4 linked regions of the Elephas maximus indicus genome follow. The protein of the gene in region 2 interacts with the protein of the main gene of each other region in a pairwise test. Links are inferred from orthologs where the notes say so. Each region holds a gene or a part of one and is shown on either strand. Other genes may lie near its edges.

The links.
Region 1: the proteins of DISC1 (region 2) and ITSN1 interact in binary tests that used the Homo sapiens proteins (3 or more experiments, as listed by UniProt). The link is inferred for Elephas maximus indicus from reciprocal best matches to the Homo sapiens genes DISC1 and ITSN1.
Region 3: the proteins of DISC1 (region 2) and CCDC136 interact in a two-hybrid assay, tested with the Homo sapiens proteins (2 studies listed by BioGRID and IntAct). The link is inferred for Elephas maximus indicus from reciprocal best matches to the Homo sapiens genes DISC1 and CCDC136.
Region 4: the proteins of DISC1 (region 2) and tubulin beta-2A chain interact in a two-hybrid assay, tested with the Homo sapiens proteins (2 studies listed by BioGRID and IntAct). The link is inferred for Elephas maximus indicus from reciprocal best matches to the Homo sapiens genes DISC1 and TUBB2A.

The regions. Positions count from the first base shown.
Region 1 is NC_064836.1:27,968,561-27,976,533, forward strand, and holds the start of ITSN1 (intersectin-1), read right to left. Parts: upstream 3,007-7,973; 5' UTR 2,772-3,006; intron 1-2,771. UniProt on the Homo sapiens protein: Adapter protein that provides a link between the endocytic membrane traffic and the actin assembly machinery. Acts as a guanine nucleotide exchange factor (GEF) for CDC42, and thereby stimulates actin nucleation mediated by WASL and the ARP2/3 complex.
Region 2 is NC_064842.1:32,964,912-32,972,464, forward strand, and holds the start of DISC1 (disrupted in schizophrenia 1 protein), read right to left. Parts: upstream 3,013-7,553; 5' UTR 2,985-3,012; coding exon 2,705-2,984; intron 1-2,704. UniProt on the Homo sapiens protein: Involved in the regulation of multiple aspects of embryonic and adult neurogenesis. Required for neural progenitor proliferation in the ventrical/subventrical zone during embryonic brain development and in the adult dentate gyrus of the hippocampus.
Region 3 is NC_064826.1:21,273,129-21,280,730, forward strand, and holds the start of CCDC136 (coiled-coil domain-containing protein 136), read right to left. Parts: upstream 3,001-7,602; 5' UTR 2,929-3,000; coding exon 2,871-2,928; intron 2,143-2,870; coding exon 2,035-2,142; intron 230-2,034; coding exon 1-229. UniProt on the Homo sapiens protein: May play a role in acrosome formation in spermatogenesis and in fertilization.
Region 4 is NC_064819.1:43,839,687-43,847,397, forward strand, and holds the start of tubulin beta-2A chain, read right to left. Parts: upstream 3,005-7,711; 5' UTR 2,965-3,004; coding exon 2,908-2,964; intron 1,680-2,907; coding exon 1,571-1,679; intron 1,236-1,570; coding exon 1,125-1,235; intron 371-1,124; coding exon 1-370. UniProt on the Homo sapiens protein: Tubulin is the major constituent of microtubules, a cylinder consisting of laterally associated linear protofilaments composed of alpha- and beta-tubulin heterodimers.

The sequences.
Region 1 (7,973 bases), on a different chromosome or scaffold from region 2:
GTTGACAAAGAATATTGAATATACCATGGACTGCCAAAAGTACGAACAAATCTGTCTTAGAAAAAGTACAACCAGAATACTCCTTAGAAGCAAGGATGGCGAGACTGCGTCTTACATACTTTGGACATGTTGTCAGGAGGGATCAGCTCCTGGAGAAGGACATCACACTTGGCAGAGTACAGGGTCAGCGGAAAAGAGGAAGACCCTCAAAGAGGTGGATTGACACAAGTGGCTGCAACAAGGAGCTCAAGCGTAACAACGATTGTGGGGATGGCTCAGAACTGGGCAGTGTTTCGTTCTGTTGTGCACAGGGTCGCTATGAGTCGGAACTGACTTGATGGCACCTAACAACAACGAAACTAAGTGACAAGGTTAATTTCACAAGATTTTCAAATTTGGTCTCAATGCAATGCAGGTCACTCGTTTACTCAACAAATATTTGATCTCTTTCCTCCAGGCACTATTCTAGGCCCTGAGGACACAGTGGTAAGCCAAAGTCTCAGCCCTTCTGAAACTTGGAGGACAGGTATATTACACAGGTGAAGGTCACGATCAATAGGCTTTCATGAGCAGCCTATGGTAAAACATCCTAGCATTTGAAAATCTTGCTATCCACTTAAAGATGTCGTCATAAAGAACTGCATACAATCCAGGAGACACTCAGTGACAAGGAAGCACAATACCAGTTGTTCTCCAACTTTACCACACAGGAAAGAGCCCTAGAGAACTTGTTGAAAATACCAATGCTGGAGTCCCACGCCCAGGCAATCTAACTCTGAGATGAGCTGACAGAAACAATAACCCTCAGTCATTGTTGATGTCTGTGATCTGAGGTCCAGAATTTGAGAAACCCAACCAGCCAGTGATGGAGCCCTTCAGAAGGGAATGATCACATGCAAAAGGCTCAAGACAGTGCTACGCAGGGGGATTTGAGCTGAGTAAGGTAAACCCAACCCTCGTATAATTCATTCTCTATAATTCACAAATTTAACAAATTAAAAAGATGGCTAAGACTAGAGGAATTTACCATCACTTTCTTCTTAATTTCCTACACGAGTTTTGAGAGTTTGTCTCTACCCAGGCATTTGGGGAAATGGTGAACACATGCAGAGTTCTATACCAATATTAGAGATAAGCATTAAGAAAGAAATTGCCAGCCAACAGAGAATAAATATGCTAAGAGTGAAAAACTTTTCAAGGAACTAGCTTGCTACCAGTCATTTTATGCCCTATTTCACAATGCCGAGTATCTATCTGAACAATCCACGGGGTTCCAAAGTACATTAAAAATGTGTTCATTTCCTCTCTTACTCAGGCAGAATAATAATAGTTTTGCGAAGGTACCACGTGCCTCGGCAATTTCAAGAGATACATTCTTTAGACAAATACCAATTTTTTTTAACCTACTGTCAGAAATGCCCCTTACTGGAATCACTTAAAGGTGGCTGAAATAATTTTAACGCTGAAAGAACTTTAATTTTTTTTTAAAGATGTCTTAGTGATAAGCAAACACTCATCAAAAACAACGCATTTCAAGACCAGCCAAAAAAAAAAAAAACTAAAAATCACAAAAAGTGTCTCTTCTTACACAGTATCTTGTTCTCAGATAACTTTGAGCTGTTTAAGCTTCTGCACTCTCAACCTTAAAATCATCTAAAAATAAAGATACCCAGGCAGACGCATGCAGCACATTTTAGGGGTTAAGAGCGCACCACGCAAACCGGCTGACCTGCCCTCAGACCCCGTCCACTAGGAAATCCGTAACCAGATCTCTCGGCATGTTTCTTCAGAGGTGCCACGGCACTAGTAAAACTGCCTCCCTGCTAACAGAACTGAAAATTTTCCAGATGACATTTGCTTGTTATTGTACTTGTTTTTAGGATCTGTGCTTTTTGCTGCCCTCGATTTTTATTATTTGCATGTTTCGTCCACGAAAATCCTTTAGGGGAGGATGCCAATAGATAATCGCACAAAGAAACGCATCTGGCCAGAAAAGCCTGCATGTATTTAAAATTTCGGATCGGTGCAGCACCGACGATGGCAAACTTCTAAAGGAAACTTCTCATATTTAAGAGGCTATCAAAAACCTCCATTGCCTCCAACCCCAAGGAGAAGCCACTCATCTGTTCTCCAAAAGCAGACGCTTCCTCGGTCCGAATGCCAACACAGAAGACGCCCGCAAGAAACGTCACCTGCGAACCGTCTTCGCGCCCCGGGCAAACGGCAGCCGAGATGCAGCCTCTCCCCGCGGCCCCCTTCCCGGGGCTGCGCGGCGTCTCCTCCCGGCCTGGCGCCCACCCGGAGCGAGGGCTGCGCGGGGAGGCGCGGCGGCCGGGGCTGCGGAGGGGCCGCGCTCGATGCGGCGCCCCTGGGCGGCCCGGCAGTCGGGCTCGGCCGCGCGGCATTGAGCGCCCTTCACCGGCGGATCATGCAGGCAGCCGGCGCCGCCAACGGGAGACGCGCCGTGGGCGCGGGGAGGCGGCGCCGGCGAGGGGCGAGGCTGGGCCGGCCCCCGCGCTCCGGCGGCCGAGGGCGCCCGGGTCAGCCCTGGAAGGACCGCCGGCCGCCGAGGGGGCCTCGCGCTGGAGGCGCCCCGCAAGCCCACGCCGGCCCGGCCGCCGCCCGGGAGGATGGAAGGGCGAGGCGCGCGGCGGCGCTGCAGGGCGGCCCCAGGGACGCGCGCCGGCCCGCGGGAGGGCGCCCCGGGCGGCCATGGCGCCGACCCCGCGACCCCCGCCCAGGCCGCCGCCCTCCGCCCGCCTGCTCCTCACCTCATCTCCAGGCGGATCCGCGCGGCCGCGCCGGGCAATCAGTGCAGCGCACACGCCGCGGGCAGGCGCTGACCAGCCGCAGCACCGCTCACCATCCCCGCCCGCCTCTCCGTCGATCCCGGAGCCCGCTCGGGATTCTCCCTCGCGAGCCGCCGTACTACGGAGCAACCAAGCTGCGCTCCCTCCCCTGGCCCGCCGCTGCTCTCTACCTCCTTCGCTCCCTCCCTCGCTCCCTCGCTCCTTTCTCCCGCCTATCTCCTCACATCCCTCGGCTGCCTCTCCCGCCCCACCCACCCTCCGTCCCCGCCCATAAGCGGGCGGGGACAAACAGCCTGCCAATCAGAAGAACGGGCCTAACCCTCCGCACCGCCCCCTATCGCTAGCTCCGCCCACCGCGGGCCCGAAGGAGGAGGAGCCGAAAGGGTGGAGGAGGACGGAGTGACAGCCGAATAAGCCAATCAACATGCGCGAATGGGGCGGGCGTAGGTCTCTTGCCTCCCCACCCCCACCTCCTCCGCGAAGTCGTAACCGGAGGTTTCTGGTCTGTGATTTCTGTGTCGGGGCTTATGGAGTTTAGATCCACGATTTCAGTGCATCTGTCATTGCCTTTCCAGATACTAGATAGGGTGCGTTCAACTAACTTAGTTACGGAAAGTGGTCAGGAATACGGTGGGACTGAGGAAGGGTGTGGTCTTTAAACATAAATTTGCATAAAACCTCCCCCGTTTATTGGTAGCCCCTAGTGAGGGGCCTGGCTCCGCCCCCGCGCGGGCATGCCGGGAGATGTAGTTCCGAATCCGGTTGCTATGGCGTTCTGCGCAACCTCCGGAGGTCGTGCCCAGCCCTGCAGGAGTGACGAGTTAACAGACCAATAGGAGCAGCAGCGTGGAGCGAAGGGGCGGGCTCTCTGCGGAAGGGCTTGAAGGTGGCGGTGGCTAAGCTGCAGGGCTTTGGGGCCGCCCGGAGACAGGTGAGCCTCGGGAAAGGCGATGTGTGTCTTGGGTGTCAGGGCTTTGGGGGAAAGGTGGAAGGACACCGAGCGGAACCGCCAGCTCTGGGCGGGTGGTGGTTCGCGTCGCATCCCCACCTCAGACGTGCTCACGTCCAGGCCTAGCTTAGCCGAGGCCGCACAGGAGCGGATAAAACTTGGCGGACAGTTTCCTGGCGCGTTAAAATACCAGGAAACCGAACCCATGGCGGTCGAGTGCATTCCAACTCCTAGCGACCCTGCAGGACAGAGCAGAACTGCGCCATAGGGGTTTCCAAGGCTGTAATCTTTACGGAAGCAGACCACCACGTCTTTCTCCCGCCCGGCTGGTGGGGTCGCACCGCCAACCTTTCAGTTAGCAGCGAGCGCTTTAACCACTGCGCCACTGGGGTCCTTACTGGCCCTGTATGGGTTTTTAATTGTAGGTTTTATCTCCGTTTGCATCTCTCTCCCCTTCTACTTATCTCCCAGGTTTCGTCTATCTCCCAGGTTGCATGTATCTCCCTTGCTTTTTCTCCCTAACTCTTCTTTCCCCTGTACCCCTTCTATAATCAATTACCGAAAGGAAGGTGGCTTTAGGGCCAGATTTGCTCTCTTCATCCAGCCAAACAGCCGAATACCCCGGAGCAATGCGGAAGAATCACCTGGGGATTTTGTCAAAGTGCAGAGACCTATTGTCTGGGGACAGGCCTGAGAACCTCCTCCTAGGAGCTGCCAGTCCTGTTATGGGTACCAAGGTGCCTCATCAATTCTATCCAATGCAAATACAATGCGAACCACTTAGGTAACTTTAAATTTCTGGTGTCCACATTTTTAAAAAGTGGGAAGAAAAACGTGAAATTAATATAGTAGTATATTTCATTTGGAAACCCTGGGTGGTGTAGTGGTTAAGTGCTACAGCTGCTAACCAAAAGGTCGGCAGTTCGAATCCTCCACGCGCTTCTTGGAAACTCTGTGGGGCAGTTCTACTCTGTCTTATAGGGTCCCTACGAGTCGGAATCAACTCGACGGCACTGGGTTTGGTTTTGGTTTTTTTATATTTCATTTAACACAGTATAGCCAAAACATATCAATAAGTAATCAATATAAAAGCTGAAGTTTTTTTTTTTTTTTCCTAAATCTTCGAAATTCAGTCTTTTGCACTTAAAGCACATCTTAATTCCGACCAGGCAAGTGCTCAGTAGCCACATGTGTCTAGTGGCTGCTGTGTTGGACCGTCCCTGTAGATCCAGATGATATAATAAGCCACTGCAGAAACTGAAAGGTCAGGTTGCTCATAACCAGACTTTTTGTCTCTTTGTGACACAAGCTGAAGAGCTACCTTAGAGGTTCTCTCCCAATTTACAGAAATAAGTAAATATATTGAATGCTAATTTGGTGCCCATTGCTGTCCAGTTAATTCCAACTCAGCTACCCTATAGGACAGAGTAGAACTGCCCCAAAGGGTTTCCAAGGAGCCGCTGGTGGATATGAACTGCCAGCCTCTTGATTTGCAACCGAACTCTTAACCACTGCGCCACCAGGGCTCTTACAGGTATTATTTAATCCTCACAGCAACTGTGTGAAGTAATTACTACTATTATACCTATTTTATAGGTATGAAAACTAAAGCCCAAAAACTCAACCAAACCGAACCTGTTGCCATCAAGTCCATCCCAACTTATGGCAACCCCACGTGTTACAGAGTAGAACTGCTCTTTTGGGTTTTCATGCCTTCCACAATGCTGCTGGGTGGGTTTAAATTGCCAAACTTTGGGTTAGTTGACAACCATTTGCACCACCCAGGAACCAAATTAAGGCTCCCTCGCCCCCCCCAAAAAAAAACCAAACAGATTGTTGTCCAGTCAATTCTGATTCATGGTGACCAGAAAGGTTAAAAGTGGCCCAGAGTCATACAGCTAGTAAGTAAGGGGGCTAGGATTCACTTAGGCCAGTTGTGACATATAAATCCTGTCTACAACCACTGCAGAGTATTCTTACTAGCTTCACTTTGCTGATGCTCCTGCTCCAGATTATGGGAGGGGATGAGATGTTCACATTTGAAATGGAGAGGGCTCCCCACAAAATCAGGCTACCTCTCACTGAAGTGGTTTGATAGATTTACAACTCTCTGTACTGTGATTTTAAAATGAAAATTCTGGATTGAAGAAAAGAGTTGAGAACCTCAAGGAAGCACTTAGGCCTCTAGACCAGGGCTGTACCCTGGTCAGTAATGAGTCTTGATTCATTTTTGTCCTTCCTCAAAGAAGGAAGGTGGGTGAACTTGAAAATTCTTAAAATACTTCACTATGGAATCACAGTGTTTTTTGTTTTTGGTGAACTCTCTTTTTTCTAATTGATAAACATGAAGGTTTTCTTGCCCCTAAACGGTGAACTTTACATAGAATGTTTCAAAGACAACATTAGAAAAGCTGTCTTTGCTTTTCTTAAAAAAAACCCAGTGCTGTCGATGCTTTTCTTAGCTCCAAAGAATTAAGGGGAGTTTTTAAGTAGACGAGCAGGAATACACATATCCACACATGATAAGATATGGTATTTTACAAAATAATTTTCTTCCATTTTTGTACATTATAAATATGATACATTTTATGAAAATTATCTTTTCTTGATTCTGAACATACTGGTAAATATTTAATCACATTACAATTCATATTTTATACTGAAGCAAACAATGGATTCTTCAAGATGCCTGTTGCTGTTAGCTGCACGGCCACCCCATGAGTGTCAGAGTAGAACTGTGCTCCACAGGGCTTTCTTTGGCTGATTTTTGGAATTAAATTGCCAGACCTTTTTTCCTAGTCCATCTGAGTCTAGGAGCTCCACTGAAACGTGTTCAGCATCATAACAACATGAAAGCCTCTGCTGACAGATGGGTGGTAGCTCCACAATAGGTGCGTTGGCCCAGAATCAAGGCAGGTCTCCCCCATTAAAGGGAAGAAGTCTACCACTGAACCAGCAATGTCTCCAAGATACTATAGTGAATTCGAAAATTAAATAAGCATTTACAAACTGCAATAATAGTAAACCAAAAAACCAAACCCGTTGCCATCGACTCATTTCTGACTCATAGTGACGCCATAGGACAGAGTAGAACTGCCCCATAGAGTTCCCAAGGAGCGCCTGGTAGATTCGAACTGCTAACCTTTTGGTTAGCAAGCATAGCTCTTAACCACTATGCCACCAGGGTTTCCGCAATAATAGTAGGTAGAGAAAAAATCAATTGCCATTGAATCACTTTTGAATCATGGTAACCCCATGTGTGTCAGAGTAGAACTGCTCCATAGGGTTTTTAATAGCTGATTTTGGAAGTAGATCACCAGGCCTTTCTTACTAGGTGCCTCTGGGTGGACTCAGACCGTCAGCCTTTCAGTTAGCAGCTGAGCAGGTTAACCATTTGCACCACCCAGGGACTCCAGTAGGTGGAGAAGACTGCCGTGGTTAAGTCGAATGGAAAGGAGGGAGAGGAGTGTGGTAGAAAGTAACAAAAATTCCTCAATCGTTTATCTCCCTACTCCCAACCTCCACCTACAGTTCCCATGTCACGTGATTAAATCAGAGTAAAGGGAGTTGGCTCTATTCTGTAATACTATTGGGCTCGTTGTTCTCCAGTAGTACAATATGAGAAGATAAGGTGCTAATTCAAAAATGTAAGTGCAAGTTATGTTTTTATTTTTCTGGATTATACTTTGTTAAATGGCCTTATGTTGAATAGTAACTGGACCAGATATTAGATATTCCCGATCTGTGGAATAAGGACCATCCCATCTCCTCAACCCACCCAGCACAACACCATTCCAAGATCCTATAGTGAATTGGAAAATTAAGTAAGCATTTACACACAGGTACTGGCAGGGGAGTGCCTGATTTAAGAAATCTTGGACTCTTAAGGAAAAATATATTTTGTAAATGAGCAGATAATAAAAGTAAAGCTATCAGAGGAAGGGTGATGAGTTCTCTTGAGATTCAGGAGGGACCGCTGTTGAGAACCACCGTGCTAGTTTGGCACATCTGGAAACCGCTGTTGGGAACCACCGTGCTAGATTGGCGCATCTGGAAACCACTGTTGGGAACCACCGTGCTAGATTGGCACATCTGGAAACCGCTGTTGGGAACCACTGTGCTAGACTGGCACATCTGGAAACCGCTGTTGTGTAGATAGGCAGCACCCTGAAATCCTCTCTTAGGAACTGCTTTTTATGCTTCTGCCTGAAGCC
Region 2 (7,553 bases):
AGGTTCAAATTCACCCAGAGGTGTCTTGAAAGAAAGGCCTGGCAATCTACTTCTGAAAAATCAGCCATTGAAAACCCTATGGAGCACAACTCTACTTTGATACACATGGGGTCATCATGAGTCAGAATCAAATGACAGCAACTGGTCTGTATTAGTATGATGTACCATGATCTATAATCTAACACAGGCCTGCTATGAACCATGGCTTAGCCTGATAACTTCAGTGCAGCCAGTGACTGAGAATACAGCTGAGTTCTAATTCTAGCTCTACACTTAATAACTATGTGACCTTGGGAAAAAGCTGGGTGACCGTGAACCTTAGCTTTGCCATAGGGAAAATGAGGATTGTAACACCCACCTCATTTTGGGGGAGTATGTTATCAAAGGAATTCATAATAGAGTGCCTAACACATTATAAATTTATAAAAAATTGCAGGTATTTTTATTCCTGGAAACCCTGGTAGCATAGCGGTTAAGAGCTACAGCTGCTAACCAAAAGGTTGGCCTTTCAAATCCACCAGGCGCTCCTTGGAAATCATATGGGGCAGTTCTACTCTGTCCTATAGGGTTGCTATGAGTCGGAATCAACTCAACAGCAACGGGTTTGGATTTTTTTGGTATTGTTATTCCCTATTAGAAACTAATGTCTTATATTTGTGTGGCAACTCAGTCTACAGGGTGCTTTCAGATCTTTTACCTCATTTGATCCTCACAGCACCTCTTTAAGTACAAAAGGCCATAATTACTATTCCCATTTTTCTTTTATCTTTTTTTAAACAGATGAGAAAAGTGAGGCTCAAGGTCACACTGCCCAGAAAGGAGGCGCTAGCTCAGCTGCTAACCAAAAGGTCAACAGTTCGAATCCACTAGCCTCTCCTTGGAAACCCTATGGGGAAGTTCTACTCTGTCCTATAGGGTCGCTATGATTTAGAATCAACTCCATGGCAATGGGTTTGCTTTGGCTTTTTTGGTTGTCCAGGGCTCTTTTGCTTGGTGGCACAGATTCTCAACCGTGACCTCAAAACAAAAAAACCTGTTGTCACAGAATCAATTCTGACTCCTAGTGACCCTATAGGACACAGTAGAACTGCTGGAGCCCACCAGCTGCTCCCGGGAGAAAGATGTGACAGTCTACTTCTGCAAAGATTAAGTGCCCCCAAATGACTGCATTTACAGCCTCTGCCCCTGAATGTGATAAAACTGAATTGCTTTTCAACTATCCTGCTATTCATACTTTAATCGACTCAAACTGATATTTCCACATGACTTCAAATTATTTTGCTTTAGAAAAAATAACAGCTTAGGAGTTTTGTTTTGTTTATTTGAGTGTGGTAAAAGTAAATTTTTTTGTTTTGTTTTTTGTTTATTTGAGAGCTTACTGTATATCTCCAGCACTGGGCTAGGTGTTCCACCTAGTCATTTCATTGAAACCTCACAAACCCTATGAGGGAGGTACGGTCAGAGTGCCCATTTAACAAATAAGGAAATTGAGGCACAGGAAGTCCAGGATTGGAATGTAGGCAAACTGTCTCCAAACACCAGTTATTAGGACATTGGTGCTGCCCAACTGGAGCTCTGGTGGCACAGTGGTTAAGAGCTCTGCTGCTAGCCAAAAATTCAGCAGTTTGAATCCACTAGCCTCTCCTTGGAAACACTACCGGGCAAGCTCCTACGTGATCACCATGAGTCGGAATCAACTCGATGGCAATGGGTCTGGTATGGTTTGGCTGTCCAACTGACATTTGTGAAACAGGTATACATTCAAAGTGCTTTCACACACACCAATCTATGAGCCACGGAGGGCAGGTATTAGCTCTCTCCTTTTACATCTGAGGAAACCCAGGCTCAGAGATGTTACGTGACTCATGACTCGTGTAAAGTTCTTTCCTGATCCAGCAAAACCACCACGCAGCTCTTTTGACTCTAAATCTCCGGAGATCCTCAAATTCCTTTGCATCTATTTGAAGAGTGAGACGTCCACAAGCCCGGTCATTCTTGAAAAGCAACCATCCACCTTAACGACTTCAGGGTTATCACTAGAGTTGACAGTGGAAACGGACACTGTCACACGCGGGCGGAGGGAGGAGCGTGGGGGACAGTGAAAGAACCTCAGATCCTGGCGTTACCGCCTCGAAATCGGAAGTGGGCGGTGAAATCACTGACAGAGCAGGCCCTTGGGGCGGTGCCAGCGCCGCATTCCTCCTTCCACCCCCACCTCCTCCCTCCAGGTTCCCGGCGGGACCGGCGAGAGCGCGCCCCGTGCGCGCGGAGGAGGGCCCGTCGGATCCGGCCGCGCGCGTCTGCCAGCGGCGAGTGCGGGGCGCCAGCGAAGGGCGCGCTCAGGCCGCGGCGGTGCCTGTGAAGGAGCGAAACACAAACTCGCCCCTGTACACGTCGGACACGCCTCGCCGCGGTACTAGCGGGCCTGACGCGCCGTCGTACCCGGGCCTCCGCTTCGCCCTGAGCGCACACATACTGGTCCGGCGCGGGGCGCGGCACGCGGGACCAAGTTCTCCTCCCACCCTCCCTCGAGAGGGCTGAACGGAACCCGAGTTAGCAGGGAGCACCCGGCCCGCATGACTCCCTCGGCGGTCACGACGCGCTCTCCGACTCTTCCCTCCGGGGTCCCTCCTTGGGCCCAGCCACGGGGCACGCGGAGGGGTCGCTTGGGGAACCGCCCGGGGCCGGCCCGCCGCTCTCCTACCTGCGCCTTGGCTCCCGGAGCCGGGTCGCTCCCAGCGCCCGGCCCAGCCACCCGGGGCGCCCGGGGGACCCCCGCCCAGCATGGCCCGGCCGCGCCGCCCCGTCGCTTCCTCTCTGCTGCCAGCGGCCGCGGGGGTGGGCTCCAGGTCGCCGGCTCCTCCTCCTCGACCTCTTCCTCCTCCGCCCCGGCTCCCCCAGAGACCCAAGCCGAGCTGGGAGGGAAGTGGGGAAAGGGCGGCCAAAGAAGGGGAGCCGGCTTCCTCCTCTACGGCCAGCGGCATCCTGCCCAGCCCTCGTCCCCACACACACCCACACTCACGCAGAATGCGGCAGCGGGCGCGCCGGACCAGGGCCCAGCCCTTCTCCCTGTACCTGGATGGAAAACTCCCTTTTTACTCTCGCTCAGTTTCTGGAGGAAGACAAGTGGGGAAGTGCGCTGGGAGGACGGGTGTCACAGCGAAGGAGAAGCTGTGAGGCCCTAAGTGTACACGAGGGCGCCCCCAGATGCATGAGTGGGAGTCGATGGATGAATGAGAGAACTAACTTATACAAAAAAAAAAGGTGAGGGGAAAAGGGAGAGATGCGAGGTGACACTAGGAAAGGTATCAGTGGTAGCAGCTGTTCGAAGAATGAGCTGTGAGTCCACGTTCAACACTAGATTGGTTGCTTCCAGATCCGTGACCCAATGTAAGGCGGTTCCGTTCCAGGATGATAATCCTTGCCAAGCTCTTAGACCAGCTACACTCACCTCCTTCGCTGCTTCTCTTTGACTGATTCAAAGAGGCTGTTGCAGCACCTTTATGTAGCACCCGCTACAGGACAGTGGGAGCAAAGAAGTGCCAGAAATGGTTTCTTGCTCTTCAGAGCTTACCTCCGGTCAGGAAGACGAAACATGTTCCTGTAAAAAATAGCATCATACAACAGAATATGCCAAGTGCCGGGGGCTTAGCACAAAGGTGTTGCAGAAGTTCAGAAGTGGGAGAGTGTGTGGTGAAGAGAAAGGGTCAGTAAGACTTCTGGAGGGATGGGAAGGATCTTGCTAGAATTAAAGGAGGGCTAAGGTCCCTTTTTTTTTTTTTTAAGGTCCCTTCAATGGTAAGAATTTTGTGAGCGAAAACGCGTTGTTGTTAGGTGCGGTGGAGTCGGTTCCGACTCATAGTGACCCCATGCACAACGGAACGAAACACTGCCAGGTCCTGTGCCACCCTTACAATGGTTGCTATGCTGAAGGCCATTGTTGCAGCCACTGTGTCAGTCCACCTTGTTGAGTCTTTTCCACTTTCCCGCTGACACTGTACTTTACCAAGCACGATGTCCTTCTCCAAAGTATGTAAGACACGGTCTTGCCATCCTTGCTTTTAAGGATCATTCTGGTTGTACTTCTTCCAAGACAGATTTGTTCATTCTTTTGGCAGTATTATATATTCAATGTTCTCTGCCAACGCCACAATTCAAAGGCATCAGTTCTTCTTCGGTCTTCTTTATTCATTCTCCAGCTTTCACATGCATATGATGTGATTGAAAATACCATGGCTTGGGTCAGTCACCCCTTAGTCTTCAAGGTGACATCTTTGCTTTTCAACACTTTAAAGAGGTTGTTTGCAGTAGATTTGCCCAACGCAATGCGTCTTCTGATTTCTTGACTGCTGCTTCCATGAGTGTTGATCGTAGATCCAAGTAAAATGAAATTCTTGACTTCAATCTTTTCTCCATTTATCATGATATTGCTTGTTAGTCCAGTTGTGAGGATTTTTGTTTTCTTTACGTTGCGGTCTAATCCATACTGAAGGCTGTGGACTTTGATCTTCATTAATGAGGGCTTCAAGTCCTCTTCACTTTCAGCAAGCAAGGTTGTGCCACCTGCATAACGCAGGGGGTTAATGAGTCTTCCTCCAATCCTGATGCCCCATTCTTCTTCATATAGTCCAGCTTCTTGGATTATTTGCTTAGCATACAGATTGAATAGGTATGGTAAAAGAATACAGCCCTGACACACACCTTTCCTGACTTTAAACCACTCAGTATCCCCTTGTTCTGACTGAACAACTGCCTCTTGATCTCTGTATGTGTTCCTTATGAGCACAATCAAGTGTTCTGGAATTCCCATTCTCCGCAGTGTTATCCGTAGTTTGTTATGATCCACACAGTCGAATGCCTTTGCATAGTCAATAAAACACAGGTAAACATCCTTCTGGTAGTCTCTGCTTTCAGCCAGGATCCATCTGACATCAGCAATGATATCCCTGGTTCCACATCCTCTTCTGGATCCAGCCTGAATTTCTGGTGGTTCCCTGTTGATACACTGTTGCAGTGGCTTTTGAATGCTCTTCAGCAGAATTTTGCTTGCATGTGATATTAATGATATTGTTCTATAATTTCCACATTCGGTTGGATCACCTTTCTTGGGAATAGGCATAAATATAGATCTATTCCAGTCAGTTGGCAAGGTAGCTGACTTCCATGTTTCTTGGCATAAACGAGTGAGCATTTCCAGCACAGCATCTATTTGTTGAAACATCTCAGTTGATATTCCATCAATTCCTAGAGCCTTGTTTTTTGCCAATGCCTTCAGAGCAGCTCAGACTTCTTCCTTCAGTACCATCGGTTCCTGATCATATGCCAGCTCTTGAAATGGTTGAACATCGACTAATTCTTTTTGGTATAATGACTCTGTGTATTCCTCCCATCTTCTTTTGATGCTTCCTGCGTCACTTAATATTTTCCCCATAGAATCCTTCACTATTGCAACTTGAGGCTTGAATTTTTTCTTCAGTTCTTTCAGCTTGAGAAACACCGAGCGTGTTCTTCCCTTTTGGTTTTCTGTCTCCAGGTCTTTGCAAATGTCTTCATAATACTTTACTTTGTCTTCTCGACCCACTCTTTGAAATCTTCTGTTCAGTTCTTTTACTTCATCATTTCTTCATTTTGCTTTAGCTGCTTGATGTTCAAGAGCAAGTTTCAGAGTCTCCTCTGACATCTATCTTGGTCTTTTCTTTCTTCCCTGTCTTTTCAAGGACCTCTTGCTTTCTTCATGTTTGATGTCCTTGATGTCATTCCACAACTCGTCTGGTCTTTGATCATTAGTGTTCAACGTGTCAAACCTATTCTTGAGATGGCCTCTAAATTCAAGTGCGATATACACAAGGTCATATTTTGGCTCTCGTGGACTTGCTCTGATTTTCTTCAGTTTCAGCTTCAACTTGCATATAAGCAATTGATGGTCCGTTTTCACAGTCGGCCCCTGGCCTTGTTCTGACTGATGATATTGAGCATTTCCATAATCTCTTTCCACAGATATAGTTGATTTGATTCCCACGTGTTCCATCTAGCAAGGTCCATGTGTATAAAAAAAAAAAAATAGTCACCGTTAATGTTGGTGAAAGAAGGTATTTGCAAGGAAGAAGTCGTTGGTCTTGCAAAATTCTATCATTCGATCTCCAGCATTGTTTCTATCACCAAGGCCATCTTTTCCAACTATACATCCTTCCTCTTTGTTTCCAACTTTAGCATTCCAATCACCGGTAATTATCAATGCATCCTGATTGCGTGTTCAATCAATTTCAGATTGCAGAAGCTGATAAAAATCTTCAATTTCTTCATCTTTGGCCTTAGTAGTTAGTGCATAAATTTGAATAATAGTCATATTAACTGGTTTTCCTTGTAGGTGTATGGATATTATCCTATCACTGACGGCGTTGTACTTCAGGATAAATCTTGAAATGTTCTTTCTGATGATGAATGCAACACCATTCCTCTTCAAGTTGTATTCCTGGCATAACAGACTAAATGACTGTCCGATTCAAAATGGCCAATACCAGTCCATTTCAGCTCACTAATGCCTAGGATATCAATGTTTGTGCATTCCATTTCATTTTTAACAATTTCAAGTTTTCCTAGGCTCATACTTCATACATTCCATGTTCTGATTATTAATGGATGTTTGCAGCTGTTTCTTCTTATTTTGAGTCGTGCCACATCAGCAGATGAAGGTCCCGAAAGCTTTACTCCATCCGTGTCATTAAGGTCGACTCTACTTTGAAGGGGCAGCTCTTCCCCAGTCATCTTTTGAGTGCCTTCCAACCTGGGGGGCTCATCTTCCGGCACTATATCAGACAATGTTCTGCTGCTATTCATAAGGTTTTCACTGGCTAATGCTTTTCAGAAGTAGACTGCCGGGTCCTTCTTCCTATTCTGTCTTAGTCTGGAAGCTCAGCTGAAATCTGTCCTCCATGGGTGACCCTGCTGGTATCTGAATACCAGTGGCATAGCTTCCAGCATCACTGCAATACACAAGCCCCTACGGTACAACAAACTGACAGACTCATGGGGGTGAAAACCCATAGCTGTGCTTAAAAGTTGGTGTGTTATGGGACAGAATGAATGTGAGCATGCTTGATTGGGCTTAGGAATATGGGCTTGTCACTTTTGGGTGACTTATTCTTAATTTGGGGCCCACAGACCCCTGTAGAGGTCCATGGATGATTTCGGTGGTTCATGGAACCCTTGAAAATATGTGCAAAATTTTGTTTCCATCTGTTTTTTATTTGTCTTTTAAGATAACTTTAATCAACTTATCAAAGAGTTTGTGACATAAGAAGGGTTAAGATCTACATCCGTAGACAGTAAGAAGCTATGGAAGGTTTTGGGGCAGATGAGTGATATTAAAGGAAAACCTGGTGAGTGATATTACTACCACTAAAATGACAAGTATTTATTGACACATACTATGTATAACAGACCAGGTCAAGCTCTGGAGACACAAAGGCATATAATGTGACAAAAGTCTGAAGAAGGGTACCTTGCAACAAGATATAGGGAAATTCTGAAAAACCACCAGAATATACGGTCAT
Region 3 (7,602 bases), on a different chromosome or scaffold from region 2:
TGCTGCCCCGCCAGTTCCCTTGTCTCCTCCAGCTCTGCCACCAGCTGCAGCACCTGAGCCCTCAGCTCCTCCAGCTCTGTCTCCGTGAGGCTCAGGCCCCGGTGCTTGCTGACAGACAGGGAGCCCATGCTGCCACCTTTGTGCACTTGTTCTTCCTCTTCTTCCACCTCCTCTTCCACCTCTTCTTCCTCCTCTTCCTCCTCATAGAGAGCTGGAAGTAACACCTCCCCTAGGAGAGACACCCATCCCACTAGGGGGTCAGAGCCACCTTACTTGCAGCCCTTTGAGGGCCCTCGAACTCATTATCCCAAGACACAGATGGTTTAACAGTGCCACCTGGTGTCCCCCAAGGAGCCCTTGGGCAGGCCTGTGCTCCAGTGAGAACTCAGGTGTGAGGGTCAAGTTTGGAGGCAGCCCCTCCCCCTCACAGGCCCTCTGGACCAATGTTACACTTGGTGGTCTCCTACTACTACCTTCAGGCAAACGGAGCAGGCTGGTGCTGGCTCAGCCATATGGAGCTTGCACAAGGATACCTGGTTCTTCTAGTCCTGGCCTCTGGGTCGTGGGGCAAGTAGTTAAGAAATAATTCAGACATTGGCTACGTCTTCAGGCCAAATGGTGCAAGGGTTAGTTTAGGGGTTTGTGGAAAGTTAAAAAATTAACCAGGTGGCTTGTGAGAAATTAGCCTTTCCATGGTAAGAAAGGAGTCTCTGGGATGTACGAATGATTAACGCATCCAGCTGTGAACTGAAAGGTTGGTGGTTTGAATTCACCCAGAGGTACCTGGGAAGAAAGGCCTGGCAATCTACTTCTGAAAAATTAGCCACTGAAAACCCTGTGAAGCACAGTTCTACTCCGACACACCCAGGGCTGCTATAAGTCAGAGTCGACTTGATGGCAACTTTTTTTTTTTTTTAATACATAGTAAAAAGCATTACATGAAAGGAGGTAGAGAAAGAAAATATCACACAAAATGATTCTAAATGTTTCACTGGACAAACAGTGGGGCCCTTACAAAGGTATATTATCAAATAGCCTTTTTTGAAGTGTTCTGCAAAGTCTACCTTCCTTTTCCCTGTGGGTGGCATGAGGTCCCCCCTGTCCTACCAGGGCATCACGGGGCTTCTCCTCCTGCTGACCACAAGGTGGTTCTCAGGGGAAGTCTTAGGCTGGACTGGAGTGTAAAAGGAAGTCCATCCTTTAATGCATTCAGAAACTGGGGTGTGTCTGTCCCCTCCTCCGGCTGGTGAGCCCCCCCTCCTTGCTGCAATGCAGTTCCTCCAAATAGCAAAATCTTGCCTGGGTGGCAACTGCTTGCTTTGTTTTAGAATCTGACTCTCTGGTCTTATTTTCTCCGATATCAGGAGCCTGAGGTTCACCTGGGGCCCCCTGTATCACCTGTCCTCCATGGGGGGAGCAGGGTTGCCCACACTGAGTGTGCACAGGGGCCTGGCGACACTTCACAGAAGTCCTGGAAAATAAACCAGCATCCTTCCAAGGGCATGGGCTGGCAGCCACTGCCAAGTCACATTGAGTTTAGTGGGGAGATGGGTGGTGGGAGGCTGGCCTTCTCACCTGGCCCTGCTAGGCCCTGTCTTTTCAGGCAGTAAGATACCAGAGAGAACCAAAGCCACAAGCTTCATCAGAAGTGAGCCGTGGTGGCATCAGGAAGATAGTGCACATGCCCACTTGCCTGCTTTTTCAAAATAAGGGCGCTTTGGGTTTAGATCTGACAGGGAGAACAGCCCCTGCTGAAAGGATCCTTTGACGTTCTGTCCAACAAGGCTTCTTTCTCTGTCTGGCAGCTCCCCTGGGACACACAACCTGGTTAGATGGGGACTGGGGCACCAAAGAGATTAGCCCAGGACTTCCCTCAAAGCCTGGGCCCTGGGGAAGGGTACGCTCAGACAAGAGAGGAGGGGGCTGAGATAAACTGAGCGAAGGACTGTTTCCTGGCTGGGAGCACTGAGGGTCAGAGGGAGGAAGATGGAAGGAAAGAAAATGGGGGTGGGGGAAGCTTTTGAGAAAACTCACCCTCCATAGCTTGCATCCCCCGACGTTCCAGAGACCCCCAGCGTTGGCCTTTCTTCCTCTCACAACCCTCAGATACTTCAAAGGAGCCTAATGTGGTTACTGTTGCTCCTGTGAACAGGCAGAGAGGAAGGGCTGGGGGATGCCAGGGGCGGGCCTGGGGTGGTGGGAGAGAAGGTGACGTGCCTTCCAATCCTTCAGCCCTGGGATTTTTAATCCCAGTGGAGGTCCCTGCCTCCCTCTGCCCAGCTCTGAGACTCCCCTCTCTCAGCCAACGGGACCCCCGCCTGCCTCGTCAGCACCCCTGTTCCGGGCTCCTCTCCTAGCTCCGACAGAAGGAAGGTGTGTGTATATTTAGCCGGCAGGGGACGGGGAGGAGGTGGGCCAGGATGCAAGACAGAGGGCAGGAGCCTGTAAGGATGCGGCCGAGATGGTGAGGCAGCTCGGGGAAGGGGCGGCAAGTGATGGGGGCTGTGGGAAGGGGTTGCGGGGCTGGACTGCGCCGCTCCGCCCCCACCCCTGCATTCTCTTTCCAAATCCCGTCCTCCCCCCTCGCCCCGCGTTCAGAAGCCTCCGGGGCCGGAGGGTGTGCAGGGTCGGACCCCCTTCTCAGGCCGGCGAGGTGAGCTGGAGAGGGCTCCGGGGAGGGGCTGCCAGGAAGGGCGCGGCCGAAGTGGGAAAGATGGGGCCCGGGCTGGGTGGGGGGCCGGGGCAGAGGGAGGGAGACTCGAGGCCGAGAGGCAGGGTGTCCTGCAGGGAGAGAGGGTCTGGGGGCCTAGAGGGAGGGGGACCGGGAAGAGGAAGGGGGGTGGTGAGGAGTGAGGGCGGGCGGTTCTGACCTGGGCCCGGGCAGCTCCAGCCCGCGGCTCCCGCGCCGGCCCCGGCGCCGGCCTCCATGGCCACTCCGCCGCCGCGCCCGGAGCAGACGCCGCACCGCGAGGCCGGGGACCGGGGCCGGTGCGCAGGAGGCGGTGGGAGGGCGGGCAGGGGCGGGGCCTGGCGGCCACCTGACGCCGCCGCCCGGAAGCCCGCCTTCCTCCCGGCTCCCGGACCCGGACGGGCGGGCGCGCGGGGGTGGGGCGACCCCCGACCCGCTGGGTGCCTTCCTGGTGCCGGCACCGAAGGCAGTGGGAGGGGCCGGCCGCATCGCCGACGGGAGCAACTGGCCGCTTGAGGCTGGTCCTGGGGGTGGGTCCTGCCCCGACTGGGCGGTGCGCTGGGACCCCGCTGCCACCATGTGTCCGGGCGCGCAGTGATGGAATGGGAAAGGACACAGATGGACCAGTGCCCCTGGCCTGTTTCCTCCTAGCGCGCAAACACGACACTCCCTTCTCTCCTCACCCGCAGGGCCGGCGCTCCCCACCCCACAGTCGGCGCGGACCCCGGCCTCTGGCGCCCCAGGCCAGCGCCGTGGCCTCTCGACCCCGGAGCCCTGAGGGCAGGAGGAGGGAAGCCACGGCCTGGGATATGAAACTGTCCCCGGACCCTGGCCCTCTGGGTTTTCCTCGCCACCCCCTACCAAGCCTGAGCCAGTAGCCCACTTAAGGAGAGGTCCCCTCCGGTTACCCTACGCAGCCCGAGGCGCCTGAAGACCTCCTCTCTCCTCTGCCCTGCCTCCCCACCCCCCGCCCCTCATCCAATGGGCTGCGAGCTGAGACCCCCATCCCACGCTGCCCCGCTGCCTGCTCAGAGTGGGCGCTGTTTTTCACTCTTGTAAAAGGGCGGTTTGGAAGTCCAGAGGGCTTATTTCACTTATTCATTCATTCATTCATTCAGAGACTGTCACCGTGTGCTCGTGTATCTTGACGATGCGTTTGTCCTCACACTTCTGCAGTTCTCAGCCCGAAAGAAGTGGGGACACTTGTGCCTTCGTTTCCTAGGGCTGCCTTAACAAGATACCACAAACTGGGTGGCGTAGAAGAACAGACATTCGTTATCTCACAGTTCTGGAGGTTGGGACTTCGAGATCAGGGTGTTGGCAGTGTTGATTCCTTCTGCAGCTTTGAGAAGTGATCTGTTCCAGACCTGTCTCCTGGCTCCTGGCAGCTCCAAGATTTCCTTGGTTGCAGCTGCAGCGTCACATGTCTCCCTGTCTCTGTGTATCTTCTCCTTTATAAATCATGTTGGATTAGGACCCACCCTACTCCAGTAGGCGCCTTGGTGGCACAGTGGTTAAGAGTTTGGCTGCTAACCAAAAGGTCAGCAGTTTGAATCCACCAGCTGCTGCTTGGAAACCCTATGGGGCAGTTCTGCTCTGTCCTGTGAGTTGGAATTGACTCCACTGCAATTTTTTTTTTTAACTCCAATATGACCTCATGTTAACCTAACTGATAACACCTTCAAAGACACTATTTCCATAACAGGGTCATATTCACAGGTATAGGGATTAGGACTTCAACATATCATTTTGGGGGACACAATTTAACCCATAACGACTTGGGAACTAAGGCTTCCCAATATATCTGGAAAATTGTTGGGAAATTCCTAAGCCGGGGCACGCACCAATCCCTTCTCTTGCATATCCACTCACAAGGTCATGGGCATATGTTGTTTGTGTTCATCCCCACTGGTTCCCAGGTTCACAACCCTCCACCATGATGTTCTACATGGAAGAAGCCCTTCTTCACCTGGACACCCCCTACTTACCTTTAAGTGCTCTGTTCCAGAGTCACGTCTAGGCAGCCTTCCCTGACATTCACCCCAACCCCACAGATGCCCCTATTGTGCCATCCCACGGTCCCTGTCATCCTTCCTCTGTCACAGCACCAGTCACTCACTCTGGATTGACAAGACCAGGTTTTCACCTTTCTGTCTGCCCAATTTCTTGAAGGTATGGAAGTATCTCCATCACCTGTGTGTCGCCAGCACCAGACAAAATGCCTGACACTTAAAGGTAAATTTTCCAACCATACAGCATATTATTAAAAATATGATTTCACTGATATGCAGTTAAATGTTGCCTGTTAACTCTTTTGTCTATCCCCACCCCACCCCCAGCCTGGTACTCTGAGAAACAATGAGACATCAAAGGTGTTTCACCTGCTCCCCAGAGGACAGGATTCCACCCCAGATCCTGTGGCCAAGGTGATCTGGTCTTGGGGAAAGGCAGTTGAGCAAGCCCACCCAATCTCTTCAGGAGGGTCTTTGCAGACATTAGACCTGTCAGGATTTGAGGAGCGGGACACTTGTCAGGGGGTGGAAAGGGGCCGGCAGTAGGCAGGGGGAGGGCATAGAGGACCTGGGCATACAGAGGCCAATGCTGGAAGCCAGTGGTTGTCCCTTCTGCTCCGGCACAGCTCCTGGTTCTGGCTCAGCCTGTGGGGTCTGGCTAGCAGTTGGCCTTGACTGCTGACCTCTTGACTGTGGAGGGAGGGACAGGGGAGGCTGTAGTTAACTGTGACACCCAGGCTTTCCTCAGGGAGCTCTGATCCTGAGTGTCAGGACTAATCTCTCATTTGGTCCTGGGGTGCATGTCACCATTCACCGTGAACTTGGGGAACATTCAGAGGAGACCTGAACCAGTCTATCCCCAGAACCCAAATGTGGGTAAATCTTGGCAGGACAGTACTGAGTGGAGGGTGGGGGTGGGGGTGGGGGCAGGAGGAAAGGTTTTAGCAGGTGTCGGGGTGGGGTGAAATGTGGTCCCGGGATGACTCTCTGAAGGGCTGGGAGTGGTGGGGATGTTAGCCAGGTGATCAGCTGGGAGGGAGATGATCTGAATTAATCCTCCTAATCCCTGGAACCAGGACTCAGCCCCTCTCCTAATCCCATCTCAGTGGATCATCCTTTCTGAGGATTGATGCAGCCATTTATCCTCCGTTACCCTTATTTCTAAATGCCTAGATCTTTTCATTAAAAAGAAAAAAATAGGAATGTTTAAACCTTCAAGACACGTACAGTACAGAATGACATAACATCCGTGTATACACCACTGAAATCCAACAGTTGTTACTATCTTGCCACATCGGATTCAGATGGAGCCCTTCCATTTATGTTTTCAGTTTTACTTTATGTGTATGCATCCACAAACAATACATAGTATTGATTTGTATGTTTTAAAAAACCTCTATAAATGATGTTATATTGTATACCTTCTTCTGCAAACTTCCTATTTTTCATTCAATGCTTATTTTAGATTTATCTGTGTTGACATATTGCTCCAATTCATGATTTTTAATTTTGGAGTCTACTTTATTGTTTGAATAGACCACAATTTATTTATCTATTCTTCTGTTAAAGGACGTATAGACTGCTTCCAGTTTTCTGTATTATAAACAATGTGGAAATTCCAGCAGTGGAATCTCTGGGTCAGAATACATGCATCTTGACCCTTTCAAGACCCATGAAGCATATGGTATCCCGTCCACTTTTTATGCCTCTGGAGTTCTTTTAACACATTTAGCCTCAGGGTGGGAACCTTTTGAAATGCATGAAGCTCAGAAGTCCTGAGTGGGAGCCTCATTTTTGTGTAAAATGAACATTGTCTTAGGTGATGCCTCTCAGATACATGAATTTTCTAAACTTTTGACAGGTTTGCCTTTTTTGTCTGTGAGATAGGCCTCCTCACTGTTTCCCAGTTACCATGTTCTGTGAGAGTGTACTTATTGTGCGAGTAAGCTATTGCCAGGCTTCATTCAGTCCTAGTGGCCATTTTCCACTTCATGTCATTCATTGTTTCCAGGGTTTACTTGCTCCCTTCTTTTCCAGCTTCTGAGCGGTAAATAATGCCTTTCCCATAAGGAATAATTCTGGGTAGTGGTACTTTTCAAGAAATTGGAACTCCTATAAGTTATTCTTACCCTGCATTCAGTCTTAGGGCCCAGTCATTACTTCCATGTGTAGCGGGTAGAATGCACCACTGTGAACGGGTCTGCAGTGTTCCAGGGCAGCTGTTTCTGCTTCTTAGCTGTTAGTACTGCTTTTGTTATAATGAAGAATACATAGAAGTGATAATTTTCCTGAGATTCAAATTCCTTGAGTTTTATTTATTTTGCCTGTATGTATTGCTTTTGCAATAATGAAGAAAGCATTGTATTGCTAATTTTCCTGAGATAAAAAATCCCTTGGCGTTATTTATTTGGGCGGTAAGTATACTTTTGCAGTAAGGAAGAATGCTTTGTACCGTGTTTTTAAAAAAGTTTCATGAAAAATAAAAAGGCTAAGAAGAAGGAGACTAGAATAAGATGTATGTGCAGTCATTGCCAGATGCCTTCATGTTGTACAAATGTTCAAGAAATAAAATTTTAAAAATTAAAAAAACCTGATTTGATCATTGACTCATATCATCAGGATTTACGTCATCCAGGGGCTGCTGGGACACATGTGATCCGGATACTGGGTATCAGAATCCACAACTCATAAGAAAAACTCCGAATTGGTCCTTTAATCAACGTGCCTTCATTAGTGAAAACATGTAATACCAACAAAAAATTTAAAGGAGAAAAGAACTGGGTTTTGAAATCACTGTTGTCCAATTGCTCTATAAAGTAGTTGGACCAATTCATTACTAACACTGGCTTTAGGGGCCCTGGTGTCACAGTGAAGCCCTGGTGGTACAGTGATTAAGAGATT
Region 4 (7,711 bases), on a different chromosome or scaffold from region 2:
TTCAGGGTGCGGAAACATATATCATACAGGGCCTCATTGTCGATAGAGTAGGTTTCATCGGTGTTCTCCACCAGCTGGTGGACAGAGAGGGTGGCATTGTAGGGTTCCACCACGGTGTCTGACACCTTGGGAGAAGGCATAACGCTGAAGGTGTTCATGATGCGGTCGGGGTACTCCTCCCTGATCTTGCTGATGAGCAGCGTGCCCATCCCGGACCCCGTGCCACCCCCCAGCGAGTGGGTCAGCTGGAAGCCCTGGAGACAGTCACAGCTCTCAGACTCCTTCCTCACCACATCCAGCACGGAGTCCACCAGCTCTGCTCCCTCTGTGTAGTGGCCCTTTGCCCAGTTATTGCCGGCACCACTCTGGCCTGCCAGAGGGAAAGCAGAAGATTAGACACTAAAATGTAAGGAGCTCTGAATTCTGTCATTTGACTTTGGAAGAGAAAGTGAGACTATTCTTTGAGTGGCAGGTTCTTTTTGATGCCCCCTTTTTACCTAGAGAAATAGTTTTTGATGCTCTCACTCACCCTCAGAAACACCAGGGATCATAATAAAGTAAAAAGCAAGTTTCATATACGTGAGGCTATTAGTTGAAAAAACAGAGATGTTTAATGAACCCAGCTGCTTTTAATTTTAAGAAGAGAGGACAAAGACCTCATGTAAATATTGAGTTATATAGAATTAAATAGGCAGGGGCGAAGGCACAAGATGATCAGACAGCAGAGAGTGTTTCTATGCAGTTGTCTCAACTTCTGGTCCTAACCTTTTCTTTTTTTTTTTTGGCTTTGGTCTCTTTAGATGGTTACCTGTTGTCATTGGTCCTCTGAAATCACCACTAGCCTATGAAATATTATTGTCTGAAACTTTTGCATTCTTCTTTATTCTTAAACCTTCAGAGGTTTAATGGGAAGACTATGGCAGCTCACCACAAGCTAAATCTTTCTTTGAGCTATAGAGAGTGGCCAGAGAGCAGTCACTTTGAACTGGACAGATGAGCCCAAGACTCAGGATGTCTGTGGACACACAATCCACCTGAGCACATACCACTCAGCATTGTGGTGTTCATGGTTTTAGGAAGAAGGTAAATCATTTAGTCAGTTCCAACTGATCACGGCTACGTACCAAAGACGAAGTTGTCTGGCCTGAAGATCTGGCCAAATGGCCCAGACCTGACTGAGTCCATGGTGCCAGGCTCCAGATCCACCAGGATGGCCCGAGGTACGTATTTGTTACCTGCACAGGACAAAAGCTGGAATTAGAGCTGCAGCTAGCAAAGGGATCACAGGAGAAGGCTGTGGCCCATCCATCTGGCTTTCCCATCAGGGTTGGTCAGAGAAAATTCCAGCAGCTGAGCTAAAAGTAGGAGAATAGAGTTTTTCTGCTTTCAAAGAGGATATGCTTAGCATGTCCAGCCATGTCAAATACACGGGAGTCTTAAGGAATGATAAAGTGTATTTCTTAGCAGCTGGCATTAAAATGAATGCAAGAGTGTGTTCTAAATACGTTTCCACAGTATGGAAAGCAAGGTTGATTAGACAAAAAAAAAAAAAAAAAAAAAATTCAATTACCAGCAGCTTCATTGTAGTAGACATTGATTCTCTCCAGCTGCAAGTCACTGTCGCCATGGTAACTGCCAGTGGGGTCGATACCATGCTCATCACTGATGACCTCCCAAAACTGAAATAAAAAGAAGGAAAAGGAATGACATGACAGTGTGGCCTCCTGGACGTCACTCAGCATGGCTGTATTCTCCCTCCCTCCTCCTTAAGCAGGGGTCATAGTGGTCAGGTAGCAAGTGAGTCCTGGGCAGAGACAAAATAGCTGCAGGCTCCCTTTTCCTCCAGCAGCTGCTGCTGCTGAGGGGCTGGGAAATCCGCAGCAGCACATCAGCCATATTATGGCGACAGACTGAAAGCAGGGAGTGGCCCTGCAGGAGGAGGTGGGCACTGCAGTCCCCTCCTGGAGGCAGCCTTGAGTGCAGGCGGGAGGTCTGCCCCCTCCCCCCCAGACAGGGCTAGAGGTCGGGGCGTCCCTGCTAATAGGTGGTCCTGGCAGGATGACAACCAGGTGAGCTGGTCCAGGCTGCCACGGAACCCCACCCAGACCTCCTGAGCAGCACAGACTGATGCCTCTGACAGACAGGAACAGACCACACCCGGGGCTGGGGGAGAAGGGCAGGCGGGAGGTAGGACGCCTGGGGCGGGGGGGGGGGAGTGGAGGAGCTGGCCACCCTGAGGGCGATGCTGGGGTGAGGGGGCAAGGGGCCGGGAGGCTGCGGGGGAGGGGAGGGGGCAATATGGCGGTCTTGAAGGAGACCTGGATCTTGCACAGGTGCGCCCACACCTGCACCAGGCCGGCTCCTCGTTCCCACTTGGTTGGTGATGTACAGCCGCGTTACATCAACCCGTCTTCTGAAGACACCAAACAGGACCCTCATGGTACAGACGGTCCTTTCTAGATGGCGCCCATGCTGAGAGAATGTACCTAACATCCTCTTCTGTGAGACCCTACAGAGAACCCTCTATAACATCTGTCACTCCAATGACATTGCATTTTTTTCATTCAGTGGCAGACAAAAATACACCAATTCTTCATTGCGGGCACTGGCTATGACCGCAGCCCCTATCCAGATTACTGAGACTCCTATTCCCTGGGAGGATGCCAATTATGTCCGGCAGAAGGGTTGGTCGAAGGAAATTTAAAAGGGCCTCTACTTAAAAGGCACATGGTTCCGTGGCTAGGCGGCTTCCTGGGCCCATCGGAGTCCTACGGGTTCGGGGCCTCGGTCTCCCCGCGCCCTGGCCTAAGCTCCTGCCCGCACCTTCGGGTGTCCCGCCTCGCCCCGCCGCCTCGGCCCGTATCCTCTGTCCCCCCCACCCCAGCCCCCTCCCCGGCGCAGGCCCACCTTGGCGCCGATCTGGTTGCCGCACTGGCCCGCCTGGATGTGCACGATTTCACGCATGGTGCGGCTGCAAAACGAGCCGAGACTGCGCTGAGGAAGGGTGGGGAGCGCAGAGACAGGCACGTCGCCGGGGCTCCGCCTTTTATACCCCGGCTGGGGGGGTGGGGCCCCGTCCGTGCCCGCCCCGGTCCCGCCCCGGCCCCCGCCCGCCCGCCAGCACTGAGGTCACCCGGAGCGGCAGGCGCGCGGCAGGGCGCGGGGGCGCGGGCAGACTGCGGCACAGCGACTGGGAGCCGGGGCGCGGCCCGCGGGCCGAAGGGGCGCCCAGATCTCGGTTCGATGGCCCAAGGGCGGTGCCGGGTCCTCGGACCCGAACTGCCGCCCCCTCCTCATCCTGGGCGCGGCCAACGCCCCTCGCCGGGCCCTCCAGCTGCCCCTCAGCTTCAGTTCCACCTGCGTTAGCTCCGGAGGGGCTGAAGACCGGGGACCCGGGGCCCGGGGTTGTGTTTCTCAGTGGGGCCTACACTTGCTCTCGAAGGGGCCCTGCAAGGGGTCCAGGGGATCTGGACTCCGCGCCTGGTTTCCCTTCCATTCTGATGGGGCTGGAGAGCGGGCGGGTCCCTGGAGCCAGGAACCGAGGCTGGGGTTAGGAGGGGGCGGCTTTTAAAGCTTTCATGCAAAAGGAGCATGGTGTGCTTGGGAGGTGCAGCGAGGCCTCCAGGACGCGGGGTTGTCAGATGTTGGCTTCGGGGTCTTGGATCCTTGTAAAAGCGACTTGAATGTGGAAAATTCTGTGTGTGTGTGTGTGTGTGTAAGAGGGGCAGGGGTGTAATAGCCATGTGTGTCAGCCCACGTAACTGCCTCACGCATGATGTCGCCTCATGCTCACAGAAACCTGGCATCCACGCTGTCCAACAGGACAGCCACTGGTCATCCAGGGCTAGTGAGCGCTTGAGAGGTGGCCAGTCCGAACTGAGGTGTGCTGTCAGAGAGCATCCACTCCACGGCAACGGTGTTTTTTGTTGTTTTATTTTTGGTCAGTGCAAAATACCACCTGGTTTCATAGACAGTGGACAGTAAGTTATAAGAATGTAAAAGATTCCATTACTGATTATTTTAATTACATATCAAAACGGTAATATTTGGGATGGGTTTATTAAATAAAATACATTTCTGCCATTAATTTCACTTGTTTAACTTTTTAAAGTATAGCAACTAGGAAATTTTAAGTTACCTATGTGGCTGACATTCTCAGCTGGAGCTATGTTTCTGCTGAACAGTGCCATTGCTGAGTAAGCATTATTGTTGTTCTTGTTAGGTGTCTATAAGTGGTTTCTGACCCCTACCGACCCTACAGGATAGAACAGAACTGACCCATAGGGTTGCCAAGAAGCGGCTGGTGAATTCGAACTGCCAATCTTTTGGTTAGCAGCCATAGCTCTTAACCACTATGCAACCAGGGTTTCTACAGCACCCCCAGGGCTCCATTATTAGCCCCAAATTTCACAGCTCAAATACCCAAGCTTGAGGGGTTGACTAGCCACAAAGCTAGAAAGTGAAGGAATCTAGGTTTTCTTTCTGTAAGTAGAAAGCCCAGGTGAGTTTGAAAGGCTTGGACAGGGAGAGGCAAAAGCTGACCTTAATTATCCTCAAAGGTAATTGTGAGCAGTGGGCTGGCTGAGCAGAGGCCTAGGAACTGCTTTGGATTCACAGAGCTCCATCTTCTCCTCTCTGGGGCCAGTGTCTCCAACTGTAAAATGAAGATAATTATAGATGCCCCAAAGCAGGCTTTGTGAGCAGGAAATCAGAAGCTACATACAAAAGCAGTCTATGTTTATGGAGGAAAAAAGCCCCATGAAACCCAAGGTGAAGCTGTAATTATAAATCATATTAATCCTATTTGCCACGTTAATGCTTGACGTATATCAGAGGTGTAAACTTGAAAAAGTCAGGACCTCATCACGCCCGCTTCTGGAAGCCAGTCCTTCAGGACCCTTGCAGCTCAGCTGGCTGGTGGGCACCCTGGAGCTTCCTGTCAGGGTGGGGATGGTTTCCCTGGGCTTTCTCTTCTGCTCCCTCCAGGTTTTGTCCTCCCCTGCTGGTCCTCCCTGGACAGCTGGTACCACTGGCGCTGTCCCAGTTACTTCTGACATGGCCTCTCCTCACCCCAATTCCCATATCTCTGGCTCTTCAGGACCAGCCTCTACATAGAATGACCTGCTCCCAGGCAGCTTCACTGGTGACATGGCCCGACGAAGAGTTTTTGGAGACATTTGTCTCTTGGCCTATGTTTTATAATTCAAGGTGGAAATTTGGGGTCACATAGGAGCAGAGGACGAGACCTGGAAGGGATGATACTGGGGAAACGGAAGCCCCTAACATATGGGCGGGTTCCCTGGGTGGTGCAAACAGCTGCTAACTGAAAGGTTGGAGGTTGAAGTCCACCCAGAGGCGCCCCAGAAAACGGCCTGGTGACCTACTTCCAAAAAATCAGCCGTTGAAAACCCTATGGAGCACAGTTCTGCTCTGACACACATGGAGTCATCATGAGTCGACAGCAATGGTTTAACAGGTGGGCACTTTCCCTAAATGGGTGATGCGACACTACCGGCATGGAATGTGATTGCTCTGCTATTTCCTAGCTCCTACCTCTCAGAGTCTCTCTTACAGCATCTGAAGAATGGAAGCTCCTACCTCTCAGAGTCTCTATTACTGCAGCTGAAGAATGGAAATCTGTTTTGTTGTGTTTCGAAGGTGAGAGGCAGTGTCTGGAGCTGGGCACCTGGAGGACACACAGCAGATCAGTAAATGACAGTGTTATTAAGGATTGCTGACGGCAAGCGTTCCTGCCATTTGGTTCCTCTTGCTACCCGACTTCCATCCCAACCTGTTCACTTTTCCGCCCCCAGTCCCCAGCACCCACCCTGACATCTGTGATTCTGTCATCAGAGGGACACACATGCACATTTAAAATCACGCCTGCCTAGTCAGAGGGTGAGTCATCCAACGGTGGGCCCTGCTGCTCCCCCAGGAGGGCAGACAGCACACCACCACCAGGCTGACACAGCAGATAATAACAGGAGGAAATGCAGCCAGCTGTTCTGCCCTCCCCTAGTGCAGGCTTCTGAAGAGCTCTGGGGGACAAATCCTGCCACAAGCTGTTTCCCCGCACTCCCACCTTTGGTCTATTTTTTGTCTGTTTGTTTCTAGAGAAGAGCAGCTCTCTGGCTGCTGGACAGAGTGATGAAGATGGCAAGTGGCCAGGAGAACCTCCTCCTGCCACGTGTCATTTCTGGCCTTGGATCTGATGTCACCGACAGCATTTGAGCTCACTGCCCTGACTCTGCAGGCATTTGGGTGATGATGACAGAATTCAAACTAGAAAGGGAAGGAGTGAATTCCTGGTCAGCCAAGGCTCAGCCCTGTCTGCCTTTCACAAAAGTTTTAGAATGTCACCCTCTTCTCAGCAAGCCTCTCCTCCTCCAGTAGGAATGGTTCTGGGCAGAGAGGTCCAGTGGTAAGTGCCCTGTGAGTACACAGGGTCATGATGGTGGCTGCTACTGTTAACTGAGCCCATGTCTAAAGGTGCCAGAAATGATCTCTTTGACACATATTTAGATGGTCCGAGTAATGGGATCCTGAAATTTTGCAAACATCTGTTTCATCTGCAAGATAACAAAACCCCAAGAACCCTCCCAGCAATAAAATGGCCTCACTTGCTATGGGTTTGTGACCTCAGACAAGGTCTAGGGAACTAAGCACCCTCAACTTCTTTTCACTGCGAAACTCACATAAACAGCCCCGCCTGGCCTCGGACTGGGAGCAAGCACCGTCAGGCTTCTAATAAATAAAAGCATCTCTTTATGAAGATGGAAGAATTTTGTTTGAAGTGTTTAAGGTGCTTCCTTTTTAAAAGACTACCTAAAGTATAAATAGTCTGAATCCCAATTTAATTTAATTTTAGAATGTTCAACCCACTGAAGTTTATAGATTTTTGCATAAGGTGAAAGTAGTAATTTAGAGTAAATGTAGAATAATATTTTCAGTGGCCTTCTGGGATGTGTCGTATCCCAGTATGCGTCACCTTTATTACACTACTCCGTCTGGACCTTTCAAAGCTGAAGGCTATTCTTAGTCAGATGCCAAGTTCCTATTAAAGCTATACCTCAATTTGTTGTTGTTGTTAGGTGCCATCGATCCGTTTCTGACTCATAGGAACCCTGCAGCAGAACAAAACACCGTCTGGTCCTGCACTATCCTCACAATCATTGCTATGTTTGAGCCCATCATTGCAACCACTGTGTTAATCCATCTCCTTGAGGGTCTTCTTCTCTTTCACTGACCCTCTGCTTTATCAAGCATGTTGTCCTTCTCCAGGGACTGGTCCCTCCTGATAACATGTCCAAAGTACGTGAGTCTTGCCATCCTTGCTTCTAAGGAGCATTCTGGCTGTACTTTTTCCAGGACAGACTTGTTAGTTCTTTTGGCAGTCCATGTATATTCAGTATTCTTTGCCAAAACCAAACCAAACCCATTGCCGTTGGGTCGATTCCGACTCATAGTGACCCTACAGGACAGAGTAGAACTGCCCCAAAGATTTTCCAAGAAGCACTTGGTGGATTCGAACTGCTGATCAGTTAGTAGCCATAGCACTTAGCCACTACGCCATGAGGGTTTCCATATTCTTCACCAACACCATAATTCAAAGGCATCAGTTCTTCTTACGTCTTTCCGTATTCATTGTCCAGCTTTCACATGCATATGAGGTGATTAAAAATACCATAGCTTGGATCAGGCATACCTTAAT